Astyanax mexicanus: one gene and its partner. The protein of the gene in region 1 interacts with the protein of each later gene in a pairwise test. Links are inferred from orthologs where the notes say so. Each region holds a gene or a part of one and is shown on either strand. Other genes may lie near its edges.

Evidence for each region. The genes of interacting proteins can lie anywhere in the genome.
Region 2: the proteins of lmo3 (region 1) and G patch domain-containing protein 2-like interact in binary tests that used the Homo sapiens proteins (3 or more experiments, as listed by UniProt). The link is inferred for Astyanax mexicanus from reciprocal best matches to the Homo sapiens genes LMO3 and GPATCH2L.

What each region holds. Positions count from the first base shown.
Region 1 is NC_064409.1:10,574,822-10,585,411, forward strand, and holds the start of lmo3 (LIM domain only protein 3), read left to right. Parts: upstream 1-5,315; 5' UTR 5,316-5,806; coding exon 5,807-5,909; intron 5,910-10,590.
Region 2 is NC_064421.1:13,979,819-13,991,028, reverse strand, and holds the start of G patch domain-containing protein 2-like, read left to right. Parts: upstream 1-6,311; 5' UTR 6,312-6,395; intron 6,396-8,955; 5' UTR 8,956-8,965; coding exon 8,966-9,687; intron 9,688-11,210.

The DNA.
Region 1 (10,590 bases):
GAGTGGCTCTGATTGGCATTATAAACGCTTCGCCATCGCTCCTCAAACCCTTCACGCCACCAGCCTCCTCTTCTCTCTCGCAGACACTCTCAGAGTTGCCATCAGAGGAATTATCAGAGATAAAAAGACATTATAAAAAAAGATCCTCCCCTGACAGATATTATCATTACAACCTTTTATCAAAAGTACAAACTTGTTTTCTCTCTCTCTGTTCTCTATTTCTCCCCTCTCTCACTCTTTACCTCTCTACTCCCGCTCCCTCCCTTTCGTGCTCTTGCCCTCCCTTCCTCCCCACCTTCCTTCGTTTCATCCCTTTCGCACACCATCCTTCACTCTTTCCCAGGGTGGTTTTTCGGCAGGGAGAAGAAGAAGAAGAAGAAGAGAGAGAGAGAGGAAAAAGGGGGAGCAAGCGAGCGAGCAAGCTTGTGAGAGGGGATAGAGAGAGATAGAGAGGGAGAGAGAAAAAAGAGCGGGAGATGGAGGGAGGCAGAAAAAAAGAAGACTGAGCTCTGTCAATTGGAGTGAGCGCACTACTAAGTCTGGCTTCACTACAAAGGTTAGCAGATCTGACTGTCAATACTGTCAGAGGGATGGAGTCTTTGGGAGAAGGAGGAGGAGGAGGCGTGGAGGTTAGGTGGTGATGGTGGTGGAGGAGGTGGAGGTGGTGGTGGAGGGCGGGGTGGGGGGAGAGCAGAGCAGGAGGGTTTTTGCTTTGAGAGAAAGAGATACTTTGATATTTCGGAATGTTGGAAGGGTGAATGTGGAGAGCTGGAGGTTGGGGATCTAATTACCGGGCCATAATTGGGGGCTGGGGAATAGGTTGCCGTCCTCTCAACTCGCTGCAGATCAATTATGTTAAGAGAACATCTGTAAGTAGAGCTTAATGAGGTCCATTAGAGCAACATGCGCTGCCTTCCCTAACGGTGCTTGTCAGCTTCTTGGATGAGCTGGAGCGCGCTGCTAACTAGGGACCTGCTGGAAGGTGCTTAAATAGGGCCGGCTCAGGTCCGCCTCGACTCTGCTGCCAGAGAGAGGAGAGGAGAGGACAGGGGAAGAGAGGAGAGGAGAGGAAAAGAAGAGAGGACAGAACAGGAGAGGACAAAAGGGAAGAAAACAGGAAGTCGGTCGTTTTTGCGTGGAGGAGAAAAGACAGAAAGGAGAAAGGAAATAAGAAAAATAAGTAAAGGAAACGGACTGCTTTCTGTTTGTGAAGAAGAAGAAGGAAGAGGAGGAGAAAGAAGAGGGGATCGAGTCCAGGCTTAGACCTGAAGAGTACCGGCTTGGCTGCTGCTTGTTTCGCTCGGTACAGTATCCTGAAGATTTTCCCCTCTTTATACACTCAGTCTAGAGTTGCCTGTGCAAAAAAAGGGAAAAAGGGGGTGGAGCATTGTGTCCTGTTATGATTTATATGTAAGACTTGTGCAAGTGTTTGGACAAAGTTTGTGTGTTTGCTAACTTTGCCACCATGGAAGTCTGATGAGTAGCCTAAAATCTAAAATTGTAATGGTGGTGGTGGGGGCTGGATGTTGTGGATGAGTTTTGTGTGACAGAAGGTGCAGTAACGTGGTCACAGGGCATTGCTTGCATTTTTGATTGGAAGCTTAGTGCACAAGAGCCATAGCCTGGTTGGTTGTACTGAGATGTTTCTATCACCTTGCGCTGTAGAGAGTGAGAGATTGTGTGTGCACATGCGTGTGTGTGAATGTGTGCCTGCACTTGCAAGTTGCATGCGGGTTTGCATGTTATAACTTTATGCACCTTTAGATTTCCTCTCTCTATCTCTCTCTTTCCTATATATACACACATATACCCATACACACGTGTGTGTACCGTACTGCTGCCCAGCTCATCTCTCCACATAACTCACATATCTGTGCTGAATAATTGACGTGATAATGCGCGAGATGAAGTGGTCGTTGGGGGGAGGGGTGCGAAAAAGAGAGAAGAGCCAGTCTCGCGCTCTCCATCTCTCTCTCTCTCTCTCTCTCACTCTCTCTCTCTCCCTTTGCGTCTCTCACCCCCGCAAATTGCATGATTACGCAGATAGCCCGCTTTGAAATAATTCAATCCATGACAAAACCTAATTACAGCCAGGTAATACCCTGTCAGCTTTAATGCATCTCATCACTCATAATGGTGGCGAGGAGCGTTTTATGACCCATCTCATTAGTGCTGCGCTTTAGTCACAGTGATTGGCAAGAGGCCGCCTGCCAGGACTACCGGTGGACTCGCTAACTCTGACCCCATCTCTTCACCACCCTCGTCACCTCACCCGCAGACTGATGGGAAATAAAAGAAAACAAAAGCAAACTTTCTGAGATCCAAGCTATTACCTGTTAGGCTACACTATAGGAGTGTTTTTACAGTTTGTGTGGAGTAATTATGGACTAGGTGTGAACAAAAGCGTTGTTTAATAGCGAAGTATCACAATATTGTAATGTTTTGGATTACTGTATTAATTCTCAAAACCACAGTGTCTGATTAAAGCATCGCTGGCAGACAGTGGTTCATATTATGATGTCCCCTCAGATTTCACTCTTCTGACTAATTGAAACATAAGCTTTTCATTTTCTCAGATTTTATACTATTGGCAGTTTTATCTAAATTTTGATAATAAAAAAATCTCAGTATATCGTCTTGCTTACAGTATTGCGATATATCACAAAATATTGAATCACAACACCATTCCGCCATACCTATCACCAGGTTCTTACCAATACAAAGCCCTAATATGGACATCAATAGGCACTCACTGAGGGGGGTAAACACCGAGTTTGAGCTTCAGAGACACGTACACAAGCATGCACATGTTTACCAGTGGAAATCAATTATATCTGCAGTAGCATGAAGTGTAAGCACACTGAGAACACTCAAAAAAAAGAGATGTGCCAAAAATTACAGAATGTCAGCACTGTTTCACAGTGAGTAAGTTTACAAGCAAACAATAAACCCAAAAATGTGTCATTGTGTCATTGCTGCATAAAATAGGGTAACTACAGGGTAACAAAAATAGGGTAACTACAGGGTAACAAGAGAGCAAATTGTAGGCTAATTAAATTAGAATTGAGAAGCAAGGTAAATAAACATTACAAATAATCTATGTGTTGCAAATTAGACACTGTCTTAGGAATGTGTTAAAATTAAAATTCCTGAAACAATATACGTAAAATGGACAAATTACCTCTTAGAGTGCAAGAAAACTAATTGTTCTATTCTGTCCAGGCAGTTAGTAAGTTAGTAGTCGGACCTTGGCCTGCAAAGTTGATACAATTTTTGGAATGTCGTTAAAAAAGAAGGCCTTTGACATTTAACATGACTCAGGTACCATTCTGACTATATGTAGCCTATATAAAACTTCATATTATAGTCTCTATCAGAGTGCACTCTCAGAAAAAATACTCTTCAGTACTATATTTACACAATTGTTTTACCCTAGTTTTAGGGGACATTGTTGGGCTTAAAGGATCATGCTGTACCTTTAAGGGTACATTTGCACTTTGATGAAAAAAAAGCCTGTTAAAGCACCTTTTATTTAGAAAGTGTGTTGTGGTCCTGGATGGCACGTGCACACTTTTTACAGAGCTTGAATTAGTTGCAGACTGAAAGAGAGAGTAAAAAGCGAGAAAGGTGAAGAGATAGATAGCAAGATAGTAAACAAAAACCTGTTTAGGCAGAGTAGACTGACTAGCAGAGCCGTTTATATACATGCGCGCGTCTCGACATCCACCGCACGCGCGCCAGAGAGCGAAGAGAGAGCGCGCGCGAGAGTGGTGTAGAGACAGACGGACGCACGCTCGCTCGCTAGCACGCGCGCGCGCTCCCTCACTCACGCAAGCTCACACGCACGCACGCACACACGCACGCGACTCCGACTATCAGTTATAAGTGAACGACCTTTTCCTCGCCGTGTAAAACGTCTCTCTTTTTGCTGGTTTACAGTAGTCACTCAGTAACGCAGTGCGTAAAAGAAGCTCGCGACTCGCGGCTGCGCGTGCACCGGTGCGCTGCTCCGTGTCTAGTCCAGCTTGTGTGCGCGTGTGTGTGTCTATGAGGGCTCGCGCGAGAAGAACACCTGTAGCTGCGTGTCCGAGTCGCGGGTTGTACCTCCATCCATGTGGACCTCGCTGTTTTACACCTGAAGATTCGCAGTCGTCCGGCCGCCGCGGCGCCATGTGGGTCTCGTGAACTTTATCAGTGTTGTTTTTCTGCTCGGAAAGATCAGAGAGTTGGGGGGAGTGAGATCGAGCCCGGAGTGAACCTTCTGCTCAACTTGGTCAAGAAGGTGAGTGGGGGGCAGCGGGGGGTGGTCGGCGGAGGACAAGACTTTGGTTCACTTTAGGCTTTAGTTTTAGCTAAGAAAAGTCACATTTTTAACACCTTCTTGTGAATGTGCTTGTAGAGCTAATAGGCTTCATTAGGTTTTATTAGTAGTATCTTATATAGGAACTATTAGGAACAAAAACAAAAGGCAGAACCTTTCAGACTTAGGTTTAAGTTACATTTATACATACATACATACATACATTTTGCAACGTTTTCAGCATGTTTTAACGCATGTCAGTATGTCTGTTTTTAAAAAAGAGTTATAGCATTATTTTCTAGAAGTTTCTTGTGTTTTTATATAGATTATATGTGCTTAAACAGAGTTGTTAATGTGTTTACTTTTCCACTTTTCTTTAACATTTTCTTTTTTTATGTCTTTATTAAGGGACTTTTTAAATGACTATTTCTTTTATTGGACAACAAAACAGCAGCTAGATGCCAGATGCATAAAACACCGGCATTTAGAAAATGTTTGTATCTGTAATATTTTATCTGTTACAAACATCAGCACTATTTTGGAGTAGATAAATAGCTGAAAGCTGAAATTTTCTTTTATAAAGGCATATATAAAATAATGTAATGTTTTCGTAATTACGTGTGTATGGACGTAGATCGGTTTTAGTATGTGATGGTTTTGTTGTTACTTTTTATTATTATCAGTATCCCACGTTATTTATTTCAACCAAACGCTTTGTAGCCTATACTGTTGTCGTTCAAAAAATAAAAACGAGTAAAAAGTCATCAAGACAATCATTATCATCATGATTATCATCATCATCTCCTCACTATAAACCAGCATAAACACACGAAACACACGAGCTGCTGCTTCTGGTGGTGGTGCTGCAGCGGCTGCTGCTCCGCTCGGTCCCCCTGTTTGTTTTGTGTGTGAGTGAAGCGGCGGCAGGATTATAGTGTGAGGGCGCCGCGGAGGGGTTTGCCTGAGCGTGTACGCCTTTGTGGTCCGCTGTCATTTTGCTCGCCGTCACTCCGCGCGCGGCTGCTGCGCTTCTGCTGCTGCTGGATCTAATTTCATAGTCGAGCTCTGCTCGTGACGAGACGCGCGGTGTTAGTTAGTTAGGGCTAGCTATATCAGCGTGTGGCGCGAGTCTATCTCTCCCTCTTTCTCTCCATCTATTTCTCTCGTTCTGTCTCTCCTTCTCTCTTCTCCGTGGCTCTACCCTCAGCAGCAGCGGCGGAGGTCCGGCTGGGCTCCGTTGATTGGTGTTTTCCTCGTTTCTCCCTCTTTCTTCTCTGAGGGAAGTGAGGCGACGCTGGATTTGTTAGCTAAAGCTACTTCTAACAAAAGCGAACCGCCCTCAGAGAGAGAGAGAGGGAGAGAGAGAGAGTGTGTGTGAGTAAGAGAGAGAGTGTGCGTGAGTGAGAGAGAGAGAGAGAGAGAGAAAGAGAGAGAGAGAGAGCGCACGCGGCTGCTCACTTTACGAAGACCGGGGGGGAAGCCTGGGCTCGCACCTCCTCTTGTTGCATGGTGTGTGTGGTGGCGGTGTTTTTGGACGAGCTGAAGCGGGTCGACCAATGCAGAAAAGGGAGAAAAGTTTCGGTAAGAGCTTCACTCTCTCCTTTTTCAGGTAGATTTATTGTTCTCTTACCGGTTGTGACCGTTATATCCGCGAGACAGCCGTTTCTGTGCTGTAACGTTATAGTTTCGTTGGCGTCTCCGTACGTTTCCTTTCTCCATTGATTTTCCTCTTTTTATTTATCGTGAGATTTTGTCTTGTGTGTCGTGTGTTTTCTTTTCACCAAAAACGTGCTGTAATTATACGTCTCACACTCTTCCGAATCGCATTTTCCTCCTGTGTTTGTGTGTGTTTACGTTTTTTAGTGTGTCTTAACGCTTAACGTTTCTCGTTTTCGTTTCTCGTTTTCGCTCGCGAGCTGATTTGAAACGCGTTTAACGCTCCCTGAGTTTAACGGTCGGGCTCCGTTCGCGTCGCGAGCCGCTTCGAAAATTGCCTCCTCTGTAGCAGATCTTATTGGCCTTTTCCAAGCACCGCGCTGCCATGGCAACCGTAATTAAAGTGATAAGCGGGTGAAATGTCAGCATCTCCGGCTCGCGCAGCTGTGACGCGCTTGAACGGAGGAGGGACGGGGATGAGGAGGAAAGGGGGGCAAATTGGTACTTTTTACCCAAGTCTCGCTCGAACCCTTAAAACCGTTCAAAAAACGCACGCGGTGCTTCAAGCAGAGCATGAGAGGAAAAATTGGGGATGAGCACAGACAGTGAGGGACCTCATCTGTGTGAACTGTTAGTGCTAAAATATAGACATAAAGGCATAAAGATAATAATAATAATAGATAGATACATGTAAGGACAGTCACAAGATAGGACAGTGTGTTTTATATTGGTTTTTGGTGTTGTGTTTTCTGGGAAATCCCAGAAAAGAAATGATAATAATTTGAGAAATCAGTCCACACACAAACTCCCAGACTGGCCATCTGGAGGCAGAGCACTAAAAGAATAGGGTCTGCATCAGAAACCAATACTACAGTACAGTACAAAGATTATACCGCAGGACTGCACAATATATCGTTTTTGCATTGACATCGCGAGAAATGTAATGTCATGTAAGGCAAACATCTATTTCTTACTTTTTGCCCAAACAACAGACATGCTCAAACAAACCCATAAGAACCTTCACAACACATGCTGGTGCTTCAGGGATCTCGTCTAGGTGAAGAGTTTGTGCTTAAATACAGGCATAAAAAAAATAATAATAGTTAGATATATGTACGAACAGTTGCAGGTTAGGACAGTGCTCCTTAGACTGGTTTGTGTTGTGATGTCTGGGAAAACTAGTTTGAGAAAAAACTCCCAGACTGGCCATCTGTAATGCAGAGCACTAAAAGAACAGGTTCTGCATCTAAAACCAATACTAAAGTAAAGTACACATATTATACTGTTCCATGTACTGTTCAAGGCATTGTTTTTGCATTGGCATCGCAATTGGCAGATTCATAATAAAATAGTCACATCTCAGGACATGTTGCGTTGAATGTCATGTAAGGCAAACATATATTCGTTGCTTTTTGCCCAAGACATGCTTAAACAAACCCCTAAAAACATTCACAACACATGCTGGTGTTTCAGTAGGACATAATTGGAAAGACTGGGGAAGAGCACAGACAGTAAGAGATCTCGTCTGGGTGAACTGTTCGTGCTGAAATACAGGCATAAAAAAATAAATAATAGTTATATATATGTAAAGACAGTTGTAGGTTAGGACAGTGCTCTTTAGACTGATTTGTGGTGTGTTTGTCTGGGAAAACCGAGAAAAAATAATAAATAATACTTAAAGAAATTAATCCACACAAAGACACACAGACTGGCTTTCTGAAGGCAGCGCACCAAAATAATAGAGTCTGCATCCAAAATCAATACAATATTAAAGTACACATATTATATTGTTCAACTTAGGACTGCACAATTTATCGGTTTTACATTGGCATCGATATGTGTAAATGCGTAATAGAATAGTGACATCACGGGATGTCATGGAATGTCATGTAAGGCAAACTATCTAATTGTTACTTTTTTACGTCTAATTGTTAAGGCTTGCTCAAAACCTAAAAACCTTCAAAACACATGCTGGTGCTTTAGTAGGACACAAGAGAAAAGGCTGAAGCTCAGTGTGTATGTAGTGTGCTAGTGACATTTAGTGTCTAAATATACACACACACACACACATATATGTTTATATTGCACTAATTCACGTATTGGTGGTGTATTTTTCTAGCAAATATGTATTACTTTTACTGCACTGACATACTATTCATTATAGTAGTGGCCATGTTGTACTAATGATTTTACTTTAAATGGTGATGTGCCATCTTAATCTGCTACGTATTGTACTACAAATGGTGATGTACTGTTTTGATGTACCATTCTGAATTGTACTATTCATAATGTACCAATTAACATGTTTAAATTATGTTCTATTTTGATGTATTACTCAGTATTGGTGTTATGTATTGTACTAATGAAAGTACTGAATAATGAAAATACAGCACCACATACATGGTGTTGTACAACACTGACAGACTGTTAAGTTTTTCTAGCATGCAGTTTTGGATGCAGCGTAGATTTATTAATTTATTCATTCATCAGAAATATACTGATACGTATTGTTCCAATATGCATATTACATATAACTGTAGCATACTTCTTTGTTATACTTTTCTTATGTTTCTTATATTATTCTGCATAGTTTACAAATTAATATACTCATATGTTGGCATATTGTTCTTACTTACTTAGTAACTTTGTATATTGTTGTTGTTCAATGAAAAACAAGTATCTCCATTTTTGTTGATTTTAGTTTGCTACATAATTTGCACAAATAAACTGTCACGTACACTGTGCCAAAATTTCTTAATGAACAGACCAATAGAAATACTTTAAAATGACCTGAAATAAACTGTACAAGTTTGAATGTTTTTGCTCTCTCTTGTAAAGTTGCTGTTATGGAAGTGTTTAATTTTCATTGGACAGCGATGATATATATTGTACTTATGAACAGGATGTTTATTTTACTGACTATGAATTATCTTATTATCTTTATTAGAAAACATATGTTAACTCACTCTAGTTTTGATACATATTGTAATAGTATTTAGACATACATACAAATATACACGCCAGTGTTCGTGTACTTTCGGATGTACTACTCAGTATCACAATGTACACACTGATCTAATGAATGTACCACACATTGTGATGTACTACTTCGACAGACTGTTTATTATCTCAGTAATAATCACAGGATAAGAGACGCATTCATCAGAAAAAGACTGTCGACTCAAACTAGTTCTGAGACATATTGTTCTAATAAATCTGCATAATTGGGTCTTTGCTGTTTTGACATTCTATTTAGCGTTTTTGTAAAAATCCTATTCTAAGAAATGTGCTCAAATTGGAGCGTACAGTTATGCTATTTCATTTCTTTGTAAACATATCGTACCAATGAACGTACTCATGACTTATGGAGTATTACTGCTGACATGCTGATGAGCATGTTACTGTGCGGTTCTGGACACAGCCTATAGCCTATAGGAGATGCATGTGTCAGAAAGGGACAGTCATCTCAGACTAGTTCTCGGGCAGAAGTAAGAGGAGTGTAAAAACTGGAACTTTTTTGGCTGGGTAATGAGAGGCGGCGGCTGTGTTGTGTTCCCCGGGCTGGTGCGGATGAGTGCTGCTGAAGAGGAAGCTCACATAGCAGAGGCGATCAGCCGTGCGCTCCTCTCACACACTCACCATCCAGCCAATTAAAAGCTCAACGGCTTAAATGCAATGGCTTCGCTCATTACCGCAAACAGAGTGGCAGTCCTTTTCTGCTTTCTTTCTTTTTATACAAATGCTTCACTTTTAATCAGCTCCTTAAAAAAAACTTCTGAGCAAAGCAGCGTTTTGTTTGCATTCAGATGACAAATGTGTTGAAAGGGGTTTGTGGCCTTTGGATGGTTTGCACATTCACATCTGTGCATTTCCACTTTCTTTTTTGGCTTTCTTCCTTTTTTTGCCATCCCTTTAACTTACAAATTCCTGCAACTTTAGAACGGCTCTGGAGCGGAGCGGGTTGTAGCATGGTGCTTTGCTCTGGCTTGTACAGGATTACATGTTTGTTACTAAGTGATAGTTGGACCTTGTGTACCTGAAATAGATTTGCTTCGGAGGTGTGTTTGCCTAAATCTCACAATTTTAAAACATTTTTCAGCCCACTCGCCCTTTTTGCCGAATCTGTAGTGTACAGTCAGTTGGCATGGAGAGTCATTTCTGTTCACTTCTGTGAAAAAAATGTACATCTGTCATTTGGGAAAAACAATGGGAAGAAGCAACTGCCTATTGACTTCCATTAGACATCTGTCTTGAGTTAAGTGTTCTGTTCTGTTCTCTTACTAAGCACAGGGGAATGTGTCAAAGTGATTGTCCATGCTAATCGACCATATGCTACAGATCCAGCAGATACAGATGAGATTAGATTGAAAATTAGATTAGATTTGTTAGACTGTCCCTTAAACCATTTAGAGACGTAAATAAAGATGTATTTGCTTAAAAGCTCAATTGTTTTAATCTAACTGTACATTGTCTGTTGTTCATTGTTTCAATATAGAAAGTAGAAGCGCCTCACACTCCCAGCTCCAAAGGCTTCCCACAACTTTCTCTCTCTTCCTCTCTCGCTTAAAGTTTGCCCCTGTTTCTGCCTGCACCTCTACAGTGAAGCGCACAACATATACATTCAGTGTAGCACC
Region 2 (11,210 bases), on another chromosome or scaffold:
TGGCAGAATTCTGCCTTTACTGTAGTGTAAAGCAGGGGTCGGCAATAGGTGGCCCGCAAGCATGAAACATCTGGCCCGTGAGGTTGTTTGAACTATAATTAATGATATTGAAAAAAAGTGTGTTTTTCACCCATTCTTGGGCTCCCTGTCTCATTATAAGGGCATTTTTTTCTGACCGTTTCCCAATTCACTAGCTGGGGGAGCACACATGAGGAGCGATGTGTTTATTTTTTTTTTTTCCTGTCTTCTTGGGTTTACCTGCTTTAAAATCAACTATTTTGCAATTGGGTTCTACAACCCTCTGGGCTTGGGAGCTACTAGTATGTAGCACTCCATCCCTTTAAACTTTATTTTCCAAAACACTTTATTTTTTGTGGTCCACCATGTAATGGCTTGGAAAATATCTGGCCTGTTGCCAAACTTATGGTGTTGCAAAGTGGTTGAAACTGTATGTGATTGCTAGGCACAATGCTCTTTCAAGTGGTTGCTAGGTGGTTGATATCACATCCCAGGTGGTTGCTATTGTGTTCTTGGTGGTACAAGGGGGTTGTTATAATGTTTCACAGTGGTTTTTATAGTATGCCAGGTGGTTACTAGGATGTTGTTAGGAGGTCACTACGGCATCTCAAGGGGTTGTTATGATGTTGCTAAGTGGGTGATATGTGGTTGCCAGAGGGTTGCTAGGTGGTTGCTATAGCTTCCCCAAATAGTTGCTATGATGTTTGTAAGTGGATGGTAGATGGGTGTTCCAGAGTGGTAATGTGATTGCTATAGTTTTTTCAGGTAGTTGACATGATGTTGCTTAGAGTTTACTGGACTGGACTTACTGTGGTATTCTAGAAGACCCAGAAAGCTTTATCGTCATTCTGTGCATACATCTACTCTCTATATAATGGACTTCTATTTTTCCTTCTCCATTCAGTGCTGTCTCCATGTTAAAAAGAACAATAGTGTTAAATGGGTATCACTGCTGCAACAGCATCAACCAACAAAAAACAATGCCCCTTAAGTGGGCCAGTCTTGTTTGCTGATAGTGTTGCTGATGACAGCTGATGTCCACGGGGAGCTGGAGAGTATGGTGTGTGGACTCTGAATGAGAAACCCAACCACAATGGCTTTATTTCTCCTTTCACTACTCACTGCTCTCAGAGAGTAACACTGAAGTGTCTAGTTATTGTCTGACAAGGCCTATATTCAGGTACTCTGTGGTAATGCTCCATATTATGCAATGGAACATTCTACTGTCACTTTTGTAGTAAGTACATTACCAGTCAAAAGTTTGGACACACACATCTCTTCTCATTCAATGTGTTTTCTTTTTTTATGATTTTTTTTACAATGTTAATTTAATAATTAAGTTAGGTTAACTTTAACATGCTAAATCATTCTGTAAACATAAAGTTTTAAACAAACCACCCTGCTAAAAATCCAGCTTAAGACCAGCTAGCCATCCAGAAAATCATACCCTATGCTGGTAGCTGGTTTTAAGTCTTTTTCTTAAAAGAGCAGAATATCTTTTATAATTTTGCCACATTTAGCTTTGAGGACAGGCTATGTATTTTCCCAGTGTCTTAACAACCTTTAAAGGGGACATATCCATTTCTGTATGTTAAGGGAACAAATGTAAAAAAATGGAAGAAATGACTACAAGATCATCGTCAGACCATATCTAACATTAAATTTAAGGAAGCCTTTACAGCACTAGACTAAACAAGCAACACTCTATAATTAGCCCCAGTGTCTGGAAAATGTTCTCACATTTGAGCTCTGCAGCTTCTAGTATTTTTACTTTTGCACTAAAATGAATTTCCGTGGGTCGAGATTATGAAGAGGCTGTAACTTATACAACTTTTAGGTCAGGTTTTAAAAAAGCCTTTAATGGCATTTAGATGACATTTAATGGCAATTAGGCTATATGAAATACTCCTACACCCCCCCCTCCTCCCTAACTCTCGTCCCAAAAAGTACAACCATCCCTACATATTGTATCCGTACCTGAAGCTGTATAAAAAGTGCATTGTGATGTGTTCAAACAGTGGAGGAACGGGAATAAAAAAAATGGAACAAGTCAGAGGTAGCAGCTCCATTTTTTACAGTATAAAAGTTTTGCAAGGTCGTTGAAAGAGTCACGATACTACACAATACCTGCATACAAATATGCTCCCTTGTTCCACAAGTCATGACACGGTGGCTCTTAAAACGATCATTATTACCATACAAATAGACAGATCTATTTAACAACCGGCTTTTTATCGCATAACAGTTATTCTTTAGTGTTGTGCCTTGAAAGGGATTGAAATGCAGCTCCCCCCCTTCTTGCTGGGGAACGTCTTAGCCTTGATAAAGGCTTGGAGCAATAGATGGAGCAAGGCTGACATCTTCTTAAGAGATGATAGGAGAGCCAAATCAAATAGGATGGAGCAGTCACTCTCTGTGCAGATAGGTAGTTCATTTCACCGGCTCTGCGTTGGCATCCCCAGTGACTCCCTGCCCGGGGAAGATAGCTTACTCGGACTTCATTCATTATTCCAACCCCAGCCTTTTCAGTGCTTCTAAACGCTCCCCTTTTGTTCTAAGCTGGGGCGTATTTTCCTCACTCTGATGAGAATCTCGAAATTTCGGTTTGCGGACCAATATGCATTATCACCGGCTTTCATTTTATGTTCGAGAGTGGAGCGAATTCAATTATATTTTGTGATACATAATCGAGTGCAAATGAATGAGTTGAGTTGTGTCTTTTGAAACAATGGAGCCTTGGTTATCCTCCGTAAATGTTTTTCTTGCCCCTTGAGGTAAGATGTGTGGGATGGATTTTTAAACACTTTCCCTGAAATAACTTTTTTTTAACAGTTTAAAACTCTGATTACTTTGCACATGCATGATGCATAATCCTTTCCTGGGATATTTATTTATAGGAAAATGTATATTTTAAGATATTTAATAGTATTTAATATTATATATTATTTATAAATATAACAGAAACCAATGTCAAAGTTTGGGCATCTTTGGTGAAATGGCAAATTTTGTTATTTATTTTAATTGAGAAAACTGTAGCTGTATAAAACACAAATTATTCAAATAAAAAAAAAAACCTTTTATATCATAGAAATAATAAAAACTCAGCTGAAACCAAACATTAATGTATTCAGTGCAAATGTCTGTGCACCCTACAGTGTTAGGACTAAACACATTTTGGAGCCAGATAATGGTCTTTTATTATTCTGTTGTAGGAGCCATCCTCATTTCAACTTCAACGTTTTCACAGCCACCAGTGCAGTCTGACAGTTGACAAGGTGTTCTCTTCATGAATGGTGGTACATATATTTTTTAAACTGTACAATTGTTGATTGAGTTTTAGTTAGACTTATGACTCACCCACAACTCATGTGCAGTGCAATGCTGCACAGTAGAACGGTGCACAAAACGAGACAGGATTTTAACACTATATATATATTTATTAATTTCAAAGATGAAATAGATGATTGAAAATATTTTATCTGACTGAAACTCACAAAATACAAAACTGCAGGTCGCTCTGCAGTTTCCACTATTAAGAGAATGTGTGGGCGGAAACACAAGATTTGGTGGACCATACAATTAACGGAACAAGGAACAGTGTGTTAAAGTCAGCAGATACAGAGACGCAGGTGTTTGTTTGTGTAAAAAGCAGACCAGCAATGCTGTTTGCCACCCAAAATGACCAAACATTTGTTTTGGTTACCTGTGTATAAGTCTCAAGAGACACATTTAACACCTGACAAGAAATATTGTGCTGTTTTAATCTTGCAAGATCTCCTGGAATGTGATCTCAGCACACCCCTACTAATTGGGTTTACTGATGACTGCTGCAAAGTGCACAGATCTACAAAAAGTAGAGTCAGAGGCAGAATTATCAGTCATGCTCTTCATTTTTGCAGAAATAAATGCTACCATAACTCTGCTTTTGTGGACAAATTTATAGCATGCAACATTTCCAGTTGAAGCTTTAGCATTTTAGAGACAAAGAGCAAGTAACGTCCAAATGATTCATATGTTCTGTTCAGCAGCACTGGAGACTTTTCTTTCTTTCCTTTTTTATTAAGTTTTTAATGTGTCTTATTTTTAGTAAAAGTAGTAGTTTCACAGTTTCGCTGTGTGCTGGTTATGCTGGTTATTATATCGGATCTAAAGTTCTTTTTTTAATCAGTCTGAAATGAATGAATGAATTAATGAATAAATAATTTCTTGATCAATTCCGTAGAGCCCTTTAAAGGTGCACTGGGAAGTCTTCGCACAAAAGCATCTCTTGTACAGACCTTAATGAACAGTGGAATTACAAAGTAGATGAATTAAAAAACTATCACCTGTCCCTGCCCAAACAATGTACTAATGAGAAATTAGCAAAGTGGAAGAAACAATGAATGCTAAATGCTGTGTGACGCAGGCTCTGGCCTGACAGGCTAAATTGAAACTGCGTATCCTGAGGGGGCAAGGTTTCTAAATTGCTAATTATTAGTCCTGAAAGGGATCTGATTCTGATATGTTTGCCTGTGAAAAGGCAGATGCTGAATGAAGCAGCGGTGGAGTCCCTCTGGTGTTTCAGTCGCTCTTCTCCCTGGATGCTCTGGCTCTCCTGAAACAATGAGGGCCCCTGAGCCTGTGTGTCCCGCAGGCCTGGGTGAGCGGAGGCCTGGGGGCTGGGTACTGAGGGAGCCGGTCTGCAGCACAAAATGTGGAAGGGACAGATAAGGGCTTAGCCGCTCACTGAGGCCCTCTCCCAGGAGCCCAGGGGGAAATTTGCAGTTATTAAGAGGAAGATGAGAGAGATTAAATGGTCTTTGTGCTCTTGTTCACTGAGTTTCTTTTTCCCTTATTTTTTTAGTTCACCCCCCTTTCCTTTTTTTAGTGTGTGTATGGGAGGGAAGTGAAGAATGTATGGCAAAAGTAGTAATTATTACTACATAAATTCAGGATTACTTTTTAAGCACTTCATTTATACACACAGGTGTTGAGAAAATAATAATAAAGTAATATCAGTAGTGTATGTGCACTGCAGCTAATTTATTTTCTTTTTTTTTCTAAAAAGAGTTTAACACTGCTCTGTGTTAACTAGAACTCCCTACTGACTAAAATATTAGAACTAGAACTATCAACTGACAAAATACATTGGAAAAAAGTGATTGCTGTCTGTAATTTTTGTTTCTGTACTTTTCTTTTCTTTAATTTTACTTGTTTAAAGGACATGTGCTAATTTGTCTAGCATTTTTTTTTCATGTATGACATTTATGTGCATTTATTTAACAAAAACACTTGTCATTAAAATTTTTGGTATAACCTTAGTCATATTGACGTAAAGTACTGCAAATATTACTCTACCACATCTGTCCACACGCTTCTCTCAGTTCAGATGTCTGTTTCTCTCTGCTTGTAAAATGCATGTAAAAAAGCCTGTCCTTTTTGGACCACTCAGTGACCCCTTTGATACCCCATTTGCACCAAAATAATAGCATTGTAAATAGACTTAATAGAAACAATGTGGTTCTTTTAGCAGCTACTTTAAATGTAATATTATTTTTGAAAAAAGGAAACATAAATAATGAAGGATTTTACAGTTTAGTAACAATTTTAGTAACAGTTTATTAGTTATGTATTGCATTAATTATGTAATGTAATTAGTTATGTTAAATTGAGGGAGCATTTATTTAAATACTTTATTATTTAAAGGGAACAATTGATTCAATTCTGGAAATGGATTGTCAAATTTAGCCTCTAAATTAAGTCCTTTAACATTAATATATCTAAATATATATTATTCATTACCATTTTTTGCAGACTAATAATGGTGCCATGCTGAACTGTTTAGGAGTTATTTTTTATTTCTTGCCCTCTTTATGTGTTTGAGAGCATCAGGTGTGTTGTGAAGAGTTGGTATACAGTAAATAGCCCTATTAGAGTTATGTTTTAATCCATCCATTATGGTAAGAAAGTAGAAATAAAATAGTGCACTTGCTACGATGAAACTAGCTCTCAGTACGTTTAATTTATATAATTTATACAATGTGACTTTATGGATTTTATTTTTTTATATTTTATCTCTCACTGTTAAATTCAACCTTTTTCAATCCTTAAAATTATAGACCATTCAGGTCTTTGTCAATGGGCAAACTTACAAAATCCATATACATATGTTTCCCCCTATTTTATTCATTTAGCAGCTTCGAAATGCTATTATTGATAAAAACATAAAATTAAATATTAAATATGATATAAATATAAATATAAAATATATATATATTTTAATTTGGATTAGCAGAATCAGCTTTGCCTGGAGAGGTGGCGGAAGTGACGCCATGCGCGGGGCGGAAGTCCTTCCCCCGTCTTCAGCTGTGAAAACACAACAGCAGGTTCTGCAGCTGGTGAGTGAGAGGAGCTTAATCAGCGATATCAGCCCATTTAAACCACTTTACACTCTTTATACAGGGTTTATACACGTTATACACGGCTTCTGCTGGGCGTTACACACTGCAGCTCATACTGCCGGCTGACTTTACTCACTGTCTGACTCGCTGTGTGTGCAGGTTTAGTGATAGTGACAGCGTTATCACCGCGCTGTGTGTCGTATTAAATACAGCCTGGCTGCTGTAGAAGTGTATTGTGTATATGTAATGTATATATGTTGTGTATATATGTGCTGCGGTACAGTGTTCTGTGTGACTCCGGGCTGCTGCTTTGTCTTGTGTTGAGAACAGCTGAGAGATAACTAGCGCGTCTCTGCTGTGTTATACTGTGTTATAACCGCGTGTTATACTGTGTTTATACAGTGTTTATAGTGTGTATTGCCCGTGCACTGATAGTGGTGGAGTATTAGGCGGTGTTGTAAATGAGGTACTAGAGGTCTGCGGCGTTTTTAAGCCATTTGTCTCGAAGGACATCCGTGTTATGTAATCCTCAAATGCGCCCGCATTGTTTTGGTCTCTCATTGAGGGTCCCTGACGTCACCTCACGTCAGCAGCAGTGCGTGTTGAGTGCAGTGCAGTCAGTCAGTATAGCAGTGGGTGGACACAGCCCTGAGACCACAGTGCACCACAGCCACAACAACCACCAATCTCAGACCTTTCACAATTAAAGCTTTTCTGACTTTTTTTGGCCAGGCAGTGTAATATCACCATCATTTTGGTTATATTTTTGCAGTAATAACTACAGTCTTGGCAATATGACGAAACACTAAAAATGTTTTATTGATTTAAAAATATTCTACTGCAACAAAATAATAATTCTTAGACACCTTCCTAAAATAATACATTTTTTCAAAATTGTTACAAAACACAGACGCATATGACAATTATTATAGCTATTTAAAATAAGCAATAGTTTAAGAGGATAGTTTATCATACATTCGAGCAGTAGAACCAACCAGAAACAATCTTGATTCAAAACGTATTAAAAAAAATATAAGTTGAAAAGACAATACTTCTATTATCGACTTAATGGTTTTTGAAATTATATTTTTTACTATGTCTTAATGTCTTAATTGTCTATGACACAATATGGCATACCTCTAGTGAATAGTTTTACAACAGATGCATTTTGCTCAGTACTAGGGGTGGGTGATATGGCTCTAAAATAATATCACGATATTTCAGGGTATTTTTGCGATAACGATATACTTGGCGATATAGGAAAACTAAAATAATTCATTCATTTCAGGAATATAGTATAATAGTATAACAGAATAATCATAATGTGGCAAAATGATATAATAATATAGCATAAAATAATATAATGCAGCAAATAATATTACAGGATATTTAGTGCATGCATATAAACTGCAAACTAAAACAATTATACAATAAATACACCTAAAGCTTCCCAGTAAATAATAGACTAATTTTAAGACAAAGCAGCCCTATTATCACGATATGGATTTTTAATATCATGATATTTCTGTGTCACGATATATTGTATACGATATAATATTGCCCACCCCTACCTAAAATAATATATTTTTTCAAAAAATGTATGAATCACAGATGCATATGACTATGCATATGGCTATTTAAAATAAGCAAGGGTTTAAGAGGATAGTTTATCATACATTCGAGCAGTAGAACCATCCAGAAACAATCTTGATTCAAAACGTATTTAAAAATATTAGTTGAAAAGACAATACTTCTATTATCAATATTATCTATTAACATATTGCGTATGACACAATATGGCATACCACTAGTGAATAGTTTTCCAACAGATGCATTTTGCTCAGTACGAATAGAAAATATCCTATGTTGAGGCTGAGTATTTACTGTATAGGGCATGCAGTATGGCATAAAATAATATACATTTTGTAGTGGAAAGTAAAGAAGTAGATGTAATTTGCTACAGTATTTAAGTATTTGGAATATATCTGTTGTGAAAAACATTGTATAGATAATTTTAAACTAAACTTTTAATTGAATTCAATATACTCTGATTAGTGTTGTTTAAGTAATCACAATGGCCACAAAACGCATAGAAAAGCGCACTCATGATGTAGGGTGCAGAGGTTGGTTTAGTGTAGCCCAACTGATAGCAAACATGGGTTTTCCTGCTATGCAGACACAACACTCTACACAATAAGATATTACATGTACCTATCAGTGTAACATAAAACACGATTTTAATGGAAAGAGTATAAAAATAGACTAAAGGTCAATTTAGATCCTGTCATATTGCCCAAAACAGATTGCCCCACTGCTTAGTAGTGTTTTATAAAAGGGTTTGTATTAGATTGTACTGTGTAGTAGTAATACCACTCGCTGCAATGTTTTTATGAATTTGTAATAGTTTTCTAATATTTTTCCATTTGTGACTTTTTGACATAAGTGAATTTGGCAGTTATTCTGTATGTTGTGTCTGCAATGAAAAACTTATAAAAACATATTTTTAAATAAAATGTAAGTTCTGCATTTAAACCTCGTTGTTGTGTTTGGATGGCAGAATTGCTGATATGGAGGAGCTGGTGCAGGACCTGGTGTCGGCACTGGAGCAGACGTCGGAGCAGGCCAAGCTGGATGAGCTGTGGGAGGAGATGGTGCTGAGCCCGCTGCAGCATCGGCGGCAGGTCCGCAGACGAAGGGGGCGCAAGCGACGCTGTGACTTCTCCCTCCACGGGCCGGTGCACGGACGCTGCCTCAGCGAGCCGTCCGAGTCCAGCCTGGACGAGGCCTTCACCAGGGACCACAGGCAGGGTGCTGCAGCCACTGTGGCCATATCAGCAGCAGGTGTGGTGCCTGCTAACTACAGTGATTCAGATGACACTGTCATAGCAAAGCGCTGGTCCTCAGCATCAGTGTCTTTTAGGGCCAGGCAGCACTCCTGGCCAGAGTCGGACTCTTTCACAGAGAACACTCCGGGAAGGCCGCTGCGCAGGCGCCGTAAGGTCAAACGCATGACCTCAGATGTGACCGTGAGCCTGCAGCAGAAGCTGAGAGTGTCTGGGTTGGAACGGGGTGAACAAACCCATCATCATCACCATCACCACCACCATCAGAGGTCGTATAAGAAGCAAAGGTTAGGCCGACTGAAAAAGCGCCCCGGGGCCTGGCCGGGGCAGGATGGAGGCTCTGTTGTGGCCGGAGTGGGAGGCCTGTCTGCAGACTGCTGGAAGGACAAGATTCTGCGCCAGGCCAAGGAGCAGAGGGAGGCATCGGACGAAAACATGTCAGAATGGTATTTCTGCTTATTTCTTTCATTTAACCATTACATTTAAACACCTGAAATTTTATTAAAATTAAATTTAAATTAACAGTAAAATGTTTTTTCCTGATTTATTTACACTGTCCACTATATGTTATGTGATTAAACAGTTCATTGGACTGTAAATGTACTGTAATTTGACAGTTAAACACTTGAAAACTTTTAGTGTTTCAAGTGTTTTATTGTGCATATTATTCCACTTAATAAAATGATTGCCTTTGCTATTTCAGAATTCTGTTAAACATCATAAAAATGCAATTGCAAAACTTTGTAAACATTAAAACAAGGGATACAGAGAGTGCGACAATAAGGAAGACAGGGAGTAGAGAGGTGGTAAGTAGAATAAACTAGCCTACTTTTAAGTACATTGGCAATATAACATTAAGCCTGATGTGGGTCAGTTTCTGCACTGCTCCTCAATACACGTAGGACTTCAAGCACCGTCTGATTTTTATATTAGTACATAATATAAAATAGGCGATTAACGCAAAGAAAGATACTCTTTTGGTAAACAAACAGTGCTAGGCTGTAAGTTGCTCATCTAACAATACTATCCTAGAACTGTACATTTTGTATCTTTCAGCTAGAAAACAGCCAGTTTGTAAAGAGATAATAAACTGAGTAAACTGATACCAAGTGTGATGAGAGATGCTGAACACTTTAATTTGTTTCATTTATTGGGAAGTGTAAAAAAATGAACTTAAAACTGCCATATATTGGCTCTCTTTGCTATAAGTTTTGTAGCACTAGCTGTTAATGAATACAGCTAACAGCATAATTGTAATGCTTTTGTTCTATATCCCGTATTGTAGTTAAGCTGGTACAGACCCTATAAAAGTAAAGGTATTTAAAGCGATCTACTAGCTGATCTTAATCTCACTGTACCATGATTCATATATAGGCACTAATTCATCTATTGAACTGCTATTAAAAATGAATGCTATGTGGCAGTTTAGCCCTTAACGTTACTATGGTGATAGGCAGATAAGATTTAGTGTTGCTTGTTGCCTCAAGGCTACAATTAGGTTATGATGTCTCTAGTCCAAAATTACAAATAGGAGGTTTGGTGCTGTATTGATCTGTGGGAAATGAAGTTCAATAGAATTCCAGTTAATTAAAGGTGTGCTGAAGTCTCCCGCCTCCCAGCAGCAGTAGAGCAGCTCTCTCTCTCTGCCACAAATGGTATGTGTCACACAAATGTCTGAAAAGTGACATTGACTCACTTTTCAGGGAGTGAATTACCTCTGTGTCAGTGGAGCCCTGCAGTTTACTTAACTAACACTCATTCATTAGAAACAAAGATGGGTAATATTCACTCTGTCACTGAAGGAGCAGCGGTCAATATGAGATATGTGGATAACATAATTTATCTAATGAATTTTAACCTATATCTGTTTGGAAAATTGTTCGGGAAATGAATAGGGTGCAGCATTTAGGCACAATTTAAGTCTTTACATCTAAATTAAATATGAATTATTTAAGGACAAGACTTATTT